Linked DNA regions of Mus musculus. The protein of the gene in region 2 purifies or fractionates together with the protein of the main gene of each other region. This does not show direct contact. Links are inferred from orthologs where the notes say so. Each region holds a gene or a part of one and is shown on either strand. Other genes may lie near its edges.

Region 1 (3,819 bases), on a different chromosome or scaffold from region 2:
AAATTCTAAGTGACAAGCAATTGGCTGACTTCCTCAAAATAACTAATGTCATTGAAAAAAAGAAAACAAAACATCTGAGATTAGTGAAACAAAATATATTCCAGGGACTTCAACCTAAATTGTGGTAAATGTATGATATGATAAAACAAAACCCAAGCAAGGAGAATTCTATAGTTGTGTTTTGTAAACTACAAAATTGCTAGAATATGTTTTCTTTCACTAGGCAGTCTCCCCCGCCCTTATTTCTTACATTATGGCTAACTTCTGGAGCAGCTGGCTTATACTCAATTCTCTTTTCTCAGGGTCTGCCATCAGGATTCCTGTACATCAGCATATGAACAATGCCCCTGTATATTTTTCTCCACTTTATGAGAAAAGCCTGACTCCTCAAATGCATTGTCAGAGCCCTACCATGTGCACAGGCATTCTGCACACACAGAAACACAGATCCTCTTAATAAAGGAAGGGACAGCCTTCTGCACACACAGAAACACTGAGATCCTCTTAATAAAGGAAGGGACAGCCTTCTGTACACGGGCGTCTGTGAAGAGCCCAGTTCCTTGAGATTCTTGCTTTCTGAACACTCTCTGTTCAAGGTCACCCACAATGATTCCTAAGGGATCTCTTCCCAGTGCTTAGACTGACTATCACAGTCACCTAGAAGATCAGTCACAAGGCTAGAGAGATGGCTCAGTGGTTAGCAGTGGGTACTGTCCCTGCAGAGGACACAGATTCCCACAACCTACTTTGAGAGAATCACAAGTAGCTGTGACTCCAGCCCTGGAGATCCAATGTCTCTTGTCTCCTCCACCTCCATGCACAAACCCACACACAGACCAAGTCCCACATATACCTAATTAAAAATCAGTATTAAGAAAGTAAAAAGAGCTCAAAGCAGTCACAAGCCACAGTTATTTTTTTCTACTTTTTTTGATCTAATTCCATTATGAATTGGTTTGTCTATTGGTAGTTGCCATACCTGTGTGTGATGGTCATTAATACAATTGTTCATGCTAGTAAAATGTGCACGTATGTTTCTTACTTCACTGTGTAGAAGTGATTTACTGATGTCCTATCATGATTTTTATGCTTGTCTATTATGTTCTTTTCTAAATCCACAAATAAACATCTTATAGTTTTTCAAAAATTTGAAATTAGACTAAAATAGACTTTAAAGGATCATGATGATAACAATATATATCTCAAATAATATATAAACTCTAGTGGGTTGGCTTTTTAGGGGAACTGGAAAAATCTGAGTATGAGCTAAATATTAAATGACACTGTAGATTAGTTAATTTTAAGGATGATAACATGAGTCTAATTATAAAAGACACTACCCTTGTGCTTAAGAGCTTAGGAGAGAAGTGTCATGATAGGAACAGGAAACTACTTAGAAAGAAAACCCCACATGTGTACACAAAGCAAATACTGACACATACTTATAACTGCTGTATCGAGTGGAGACAGTGTCCATTAGAATAAGTCCTTTCATTTTTCTATAAATTTGAATATTTTGCAATACAGTTAGGCTAGGGAAAAACTGATAAAGCACAAAGAAAATCCCACTCAAACCACCTTTTTTGAGTGCTCTGTTGGGTTAACCTGAACTATGACCCTTATCATTACAGACAGCAAGCAAGAAGTCCCAGCATCTGGCCCTCCAGATGGAGTAAGCTGCAAAGGTCACACAAGCATGCGTGGAAAGGACTAAGGACCAGAATGAAAGGGAGTCTCCAACAGCAGTCATTGCACCCCAGAGCCCAGAAGCAGGAAGGTGATATCCCAGGGACATGTCTTCCCTCAGTGCTCCCCACCCCTAATGGACTCCTGCCCTGAAGAGAGCAGCCCAGACCAAAGAGAACAAACAAACCCAAGGACTCACTATAAAGAGGGAATTGGTTTCAAAAAGGAACTTAATGATGCTTAAATTCACACATTCTACCAACAAATAACCCTATTCAGACAACTGGAAGTGGTGCCTGCCACTCATCTGGAAAAGCTTTTCAAAACACAGAGCAGAAAACAAAATGTTACCTTCAGTTTTTGAAGCTTCTCTGTATTTGTGGTCAAGTGTTCAACATACGTCTGGACACATTCAAACTTCTTTAAATATCCTTGGTTTCGAACCTGAGCCCTCCTCTCAGACTCACATACTTCCTTCAGGTATTTCTTTAGTTTTGCACATTTCAGCTTAGCTCTTTAAAAAAAAAAAAAAAAAGTAGAGCCTTAATAACAGAATTCAAACAAACTTAAGAACAGTTTTCTTTAACAAAAGTGTTAATGAGACGATTAAAAATCTAAGAAATTTACTCAAAGTCCAATAAATAGAATGCATATGTAGTTTAGAGAAAGAAAATTCAAATAGTTCTCACTATTGTATAGCATTGGTCACAGATTCCCATACCTCCCCTGAGAAATGCATACAATACCATTTGGTAACACAGTAGAGATTCATGTACTGTTGAGACAAGTCTCACTGTACAGCCTGGGATGGGCTGGAACTTGCAACCCTCCTTCCTTGGCTTCCCCAGTGTACAGATTACAGGTGTGCAGTACCCTGCCCCACTGCAGCATTCCCAGACACATGGGTTGGATTCCTTTCTTTCTTATTTTGTCTGCTTTACTTTGTTCTTTTACACAAGACTTCTCTGTGAAGCCCCCTAGCTGTCCCAGAACTCTCTCTATAGACCAGCCTGGCCATCTGTCTCTGCCTCCTGGGAATGCTGGGATTGAAGGTGTGAAGCACCATGCCCAGTTCTAAATGTATTTCTTAAACTGAAATATGGACTAAAGAGTAGTGTCTCTTTGGCCATATTCAGAGGCATACATAGCCTATGGGCAGTTTTTATATGACAACCAATTTTTAAATTAATTGTTTATATAAAATGAAACTATAAACTGGTAGTCCAAAAAATTAAGAAAATTGAAAATCTAAAATACAAAAAACTATCATTTAAATAATGTAAAAATGTAGTAGACACTGCAACAAACATACTACTGAAATATTTTGTAATAATATATCAACTCTGAGAAAATCTTTGGAGATTCTTATCCAGTTGTAATACTAAAAGGCATACTAGAGAGCTCAAAGTACACAACCTTCTCTTCTTAGACCAATATGCTAATTTTCGTCCTTCTTCATAACTACCTGAACCCTAAAGGACACCTATTATGGAGCATTTATAGTATTGGTACAGTAAGATATTTTATATTCTCTCACTCACATATATATTTACCTTCCCAGCAAATTTTTGGAGATGAGAGAAATTTCTAAAATTAATCAACAATAGACCTTAAATATCTAACTCTAGGCTAACAAGTTTTAAGAAATCCCCCCCTATCTCTGGGGAGGGAGTTATGTGTGAGTGTGTTTTCCAGTGTAAGTCAGAGGGCAGCCTCAGGTGCCAGTTCCTCACCTTCCATCTTGTTTGAGACAGGGACTCTAGCTGTCCACCACTGCATATACCAGACTAGTTGGCTCACAAATTCCTGAAATGGTCTGCTTTCTGCCTACCGTCTCCATGTGGGATTCCAGACATGCACCACCATGTCTGGATTTATGTGCACTCTAAGGATCTGGACTTAATACCTTAGGCTTGCATGGCCAGGACTTACTCACTAAGACATCTCCCCAGCCCAGAAGGTTTTTATCATGCTAATGACACTGTGCTTTAGCTGTGGTTGGCTGACTTCAGTTTTCCTTCTGGATAATACAATCTACCACTGTTTCCCCTGATGCCCATATCTTCATTTTTGACCCAAATGACAGTAATGGAGGAAGACCCTGACATACTCTTATCTAGGTGCTTAGTAACC
Region 2 (4,316 bases):
TATTATAAATGATGAAGCACAGAAGAATAAATAGGTCATGATCTTACTTTTTAAAACTAAATATTGAAAAAACTAAATTAAGGTATAACATTAAAGATAGTGATTATATTTCACTATCTTTGAGGAAGAGGGAGTGGTTATAAATTTTTTGAGGTTCTCGCCATTCCCATTTCTGGACTTAAATTGTATATATTACAAGAACGTTTCACTTTGCCATGACGCTTGTTTTCTTTTTTAAATTTATGTTATAAACAAACACACATAAATATGCAAATGCATTAACCAGTTGCTTCTGTAAATGTTGGAGACATTGGCAGTATCATGCAATACTCAAGTTTATTAACATACCATTTTCTTTTAATAAAAGTCAAATCTACAAAGGAAATCCTCCTGTACCCTGAAGACATGAAGACATATTCTTAATGGACTTTTGAAAATGTTAAAGATTTACTTTATGTGTTATGAGTTTGAAGCTAACCTAGGCTATTGAGAGAATCTAAGGCCAGGTCTTCTCAAAACAAAATAAACATACAAAAACCAAAAAAAACAAAAACCAAATTAATCCAGTGAGAAGAAATTAAGATCCACTTTAGTCAATGTAGAAGGCTGGGTATGGTGGCACACGCCTTTAATCTCAACATTCTTGAGGCAGAAGGAGCAGTGTTCAAGGCCAGTGTAGTCTAAAAATCTAGTTCCAGAACACTCGGAACTGTTAAACAGAGAAACAATGCTTGAAAAAAACAAATGAACAATCAATCAATCAATCAGTAGAGAGTATGAGAGGCAAATGGAAGGATGGAGAGTCATCTTTATCTCAACAGTGGTAGGTGGTATGGCTAGTGGGACAACCCCCATCTTTAACTAGCATACAAGTTCTAGTAACAGAAAAAGCTCACAGATTCCTAACACTCATTCTTAGCTCTTCATACAAACCTTAAAATTCCATGCTTCCATTTCCTGACCTTTCAAGCCCTTGAGCTCTGATGCTTCTATGTGGGAATCTCTTCTTCCATTCTCCCTTGTGTTTTACTGACTTACAATTCAGTTTTCAATTAAAATAAATTCTCTTACTTGGGCTTGCTCAGATTTGGGACTCAATTTTTATTTAAGAATTACAGTTGCTTTATTCTTCTAAAACTCATCTTCTAAAATTCAGGTGTCTCTCCACCAAGCAAAACTCATTTACGATGATCACTCAGATTGTGATCTATCCATCTTTATAGAGTGAGGGAGGTTTTTCCTACTCATTTGCTTAAGAAATAATGCTATTGTAATGTCAACACACACACACATGGAACGTATACATATGTATGCATATATCCCACAACACTATAAATAGTGTGTATGGGGGTGGGGGAGCAGAGCATTTAACATGTATTAACCATAGGCACAGAGAAGCTAAGAATTTTGACCAAGATCAAACTTGTAAAATGTGAGAGCTAGGCAATATATGTACAGAAACAAATCTAAAGAGTATGTCCTTACTTCTGGTCTCAATGTAGAGTTCAGCATGTTTCCCCAACCTTCTCTGTAGCTCAAGAAAATACCTGAGTTTCTCTCTTTCTCTTTCAAATCTCTCAGCCTTCAATCTCTACATCTTCCTTAGGTCCTATAGGTATCCTTCTTACCTATGATTACAACTGCAGCTAACGAACTGTACTCCTCTATAAACCTCTATGTAGTGTTCAAGGCAACTGTCTTGTTTTTAAACAAAGCATTACTACCAATTCCTCAATGTTGCCAATAATTTGGACACCTAAACCTTTCTTATCAGTAAACACATAGTGGTATGTCAAGATTCTGTCCAAATGGCATCTCCTCTGGAAGTAGTTTAATAACCGCATAATAGTCAATATTTGTTTAGCTCCATGTTAGTAGATGCTATTTCAATGTTTGCTCAATAATTCCATCAACTACTTGGAATCTGATGCAAACGAGTCGGCAGTTGCTGCTGCTTCAGTGTATTTTTGGTATTTATGTATCTCCTTCTGCCAGCTACATGCTTGGAGAACAAGAATCTCCTTACATCAGCTACATGTATAGCACCTGGCACGTAATGAAACATAGGTCAACATCTTTTAAACTAACGACCTGAGCAATGCCTGGAGGTCCTAACCTGCAGGCTTGGAAACTCTTCCTGGCCATCAGCCCTCCAGTTTCTTCGAGCACAACAGACGCATTGCATTACAAATCTATTTCGTGCCTGGCCGACTCCAGTGCACGCTCAAGGAATATTCTACAAGTATTTACTAGCGTCTCAGCTTCGTTAAGTACATACATAGCCTCATGTACATCACCAAGCATTTTGTGCAGAGCACTTCTTTTTAAGTTTTTAACATTTTTCACGCTGGGACCCGACCAGCATTCACAACACATTAGTAGGTCAACGATAGCGACACTGCACCTTACAGATGAATTTTCCATCAGGGAACAGAGCGCGCTTACTTTGGTCTCTCAGTAAGTCGATTTCTGTGGCCATTTCGATATTTTAGTTTGGAGTTTTCATCACGTTTATCGATTCCTCGCAGGGGGGAAAGAAGGTATTTCTCAAACAAGCAAGCAATCGAACAACAACAAAAAAGCAGCCTCCCGCTGTGAGGGCAAACAAAAAGCTAAGGGGTCGCAGGGGCAGCCGAGCCCTGGCGCGGAGACATCAGCATCCCACTCACGCGGCGGCGCAGCCCGGCCCGCCGCTCCGCGGAACCCAGGCGACGCGCCTCAGACTCCGTTCCGCGCTCGGCCGGACCCGGCCGGACGAGAAGGGCCGCGGAGCCGCGCGCGGCCGGAGGGCGCCGAGTTCCCGTCAGACCGCGCGGGAGGATGACCCTGCGACGCGCCTGGCTGGGCGGCAGCGTCCCCGCCGGCTGAGGGGCGACGCCAGGGCCGCGGGAAAGCAGGAGCGGCCGCGGAGTCCACTCGGCCCGCCCTGCGACTTTGAAAGCGGTGCCCCAGACCGTTCCTTGGAGACGGTGACGCCGCGTCCGTCATCACGCGTGCGTCGGTAGGCGTCATTGCGCCGTCTCAGGCGCAGGCAGGTGATTGGCTATCTGTCAGGCGGTGGGCGGGTCCCTGAGGCCGCGTTGGGGGCTGAGTGGGTTGCTTGGCGCCTTCCGCAGTGGCGCAGCGAGTGTCTGTCTGAGGTAGTGTGGCGCATTTTTAATTTAATTAATTTTTTTTTTTTTGTATGGAAACTGTGATAGGAGCAGGCACTAACTAGGTAGGGATTTTCATTGCCCACCCCCGAGTCTTGGTTTTGCAGACACTAAGCGTCTGTGGGAGTCTGTGCAGAGAGGTCTGTGAGTCCTCGGGCTGAGGTGACTCAAGGTCCCCTCACCCCGCCCCCCAGTTTAGAGCTGTCGCTCCTAGGTCTGAAACTGGTTCTTGTGCCTAGAAAAGAGAACTATTGTCCAATATTTAACCCTGTGGCTTCAAGAAGGCACCTGGTCAGGATCCAGGATAGCCTGCAAATCTAGCAGGTATTTCAGAGATGTTTCTTCGGATTTAAGGAAAGATAAAATTCTGCAAAAATAAAATGAAATTTGTACTGGGGCATAAACTACCGTTCACAGTTTTACGAAGTGATATTATGAGTATTTGAGCTGTAAAGCTTGAAACATAAAACATACACAAAATATTGGGGGCAAAAGACATTAGCGATAAAAAAATGCTCACTTGAAGTTTATCATTGGCTTTTGAGGCTTTTAATTGATTATATTTTTATGCATTGAAATACAGTTTCTTTAAATATGCTCAGGGCCTGAGATAGCTTGGTTATGAAGTGCTTGCCTGGAATTCCCCAGCACCCACATAAAAAGCCAAGCAAATCCCCTTTAATTTAAAGATTAAATGGCCTTTAATAGTAGTGCTTGAGAGGAGCAGACAGGATGAGGGAAAAGGGTGCTCTCTATCCAGCAGCCTAGACAAATTTGAAAGTGACTCCAGAGTCAGTAAGTCATTGTCGCAAAAAGTAAAATCAGGCATGTTAATAAGATTTTTTTTTCCTGTTTGATAATATCTGGTGAAAATAAAGGTAGGTTAAAAAAGGTGAACAGCCTTTGAGAATGACATCCCACTGATACTCTGCCTCAAGCTCAGTCCATACACAGCTATAGACGTACTCCCCCACGTGGACACACACAAAAACAAAACAAAAGGCATGTATGCCCTGGATGAAGTTTGGCTTTTTGTTTAACCGTTGAAGACGTTTAGTAATCTTGTACTCATAAAACAGTATCAACAGTGTTACCCTCATTCCTCTAAAAAGAGTCGCTGCTAAATATGTATGTGTTGGCACTAGCCATGCAAAGGGTTAGTTT

The links.
Region 1: the proteins of Sclt1 (region 2) and Kiz purify together in Homo sapiens (co-immunoprecipitation; 3 studies listed by BioGRID and IntAct, counting the BioPlex papers as one, with this or other methods). This does not show direct contact. The link is inferred for Mus musculus from reciprocal best matches to the Homo sapiens genes SCLT1 and KIZ.

Annotation. Positions count from the first base shown.
Region 1 is NC_000068.7:146,862,088-146,865,906, reverse strand, and holds part of Kiz (centrosomal protein kizuna), read right to left. Parts: intron 2,201-3,819; coding exon 2,038-2,200; intron 1-2,037. UniProt on the Homo sapiens protein: Centrosomal protein required for establishing a robust mitotic centrosome architecture that can endure the forces that converge on the centrosomes during spindle formation. Required for stabilizing the expanded pericentriolar material around the centriole.
Region 2 is NC_000069.6:41,739,550-41,743,865, forward strand, and holds the start of Sclt1 (sodium channel and clathrin linker 1), read right to left. Parts: upstream 2,966-4,316; 5' UTR 2,480-2,965; coding exon 2,446-2,479; exon of another isoform or gene 2,405-2,445; intron 1-2,404. UniProt on the Homo sapiens protein: Adapter protein that links SCN10A to clathrin. Regulates SCN10A channel activity, possibly by promoting channel internalization.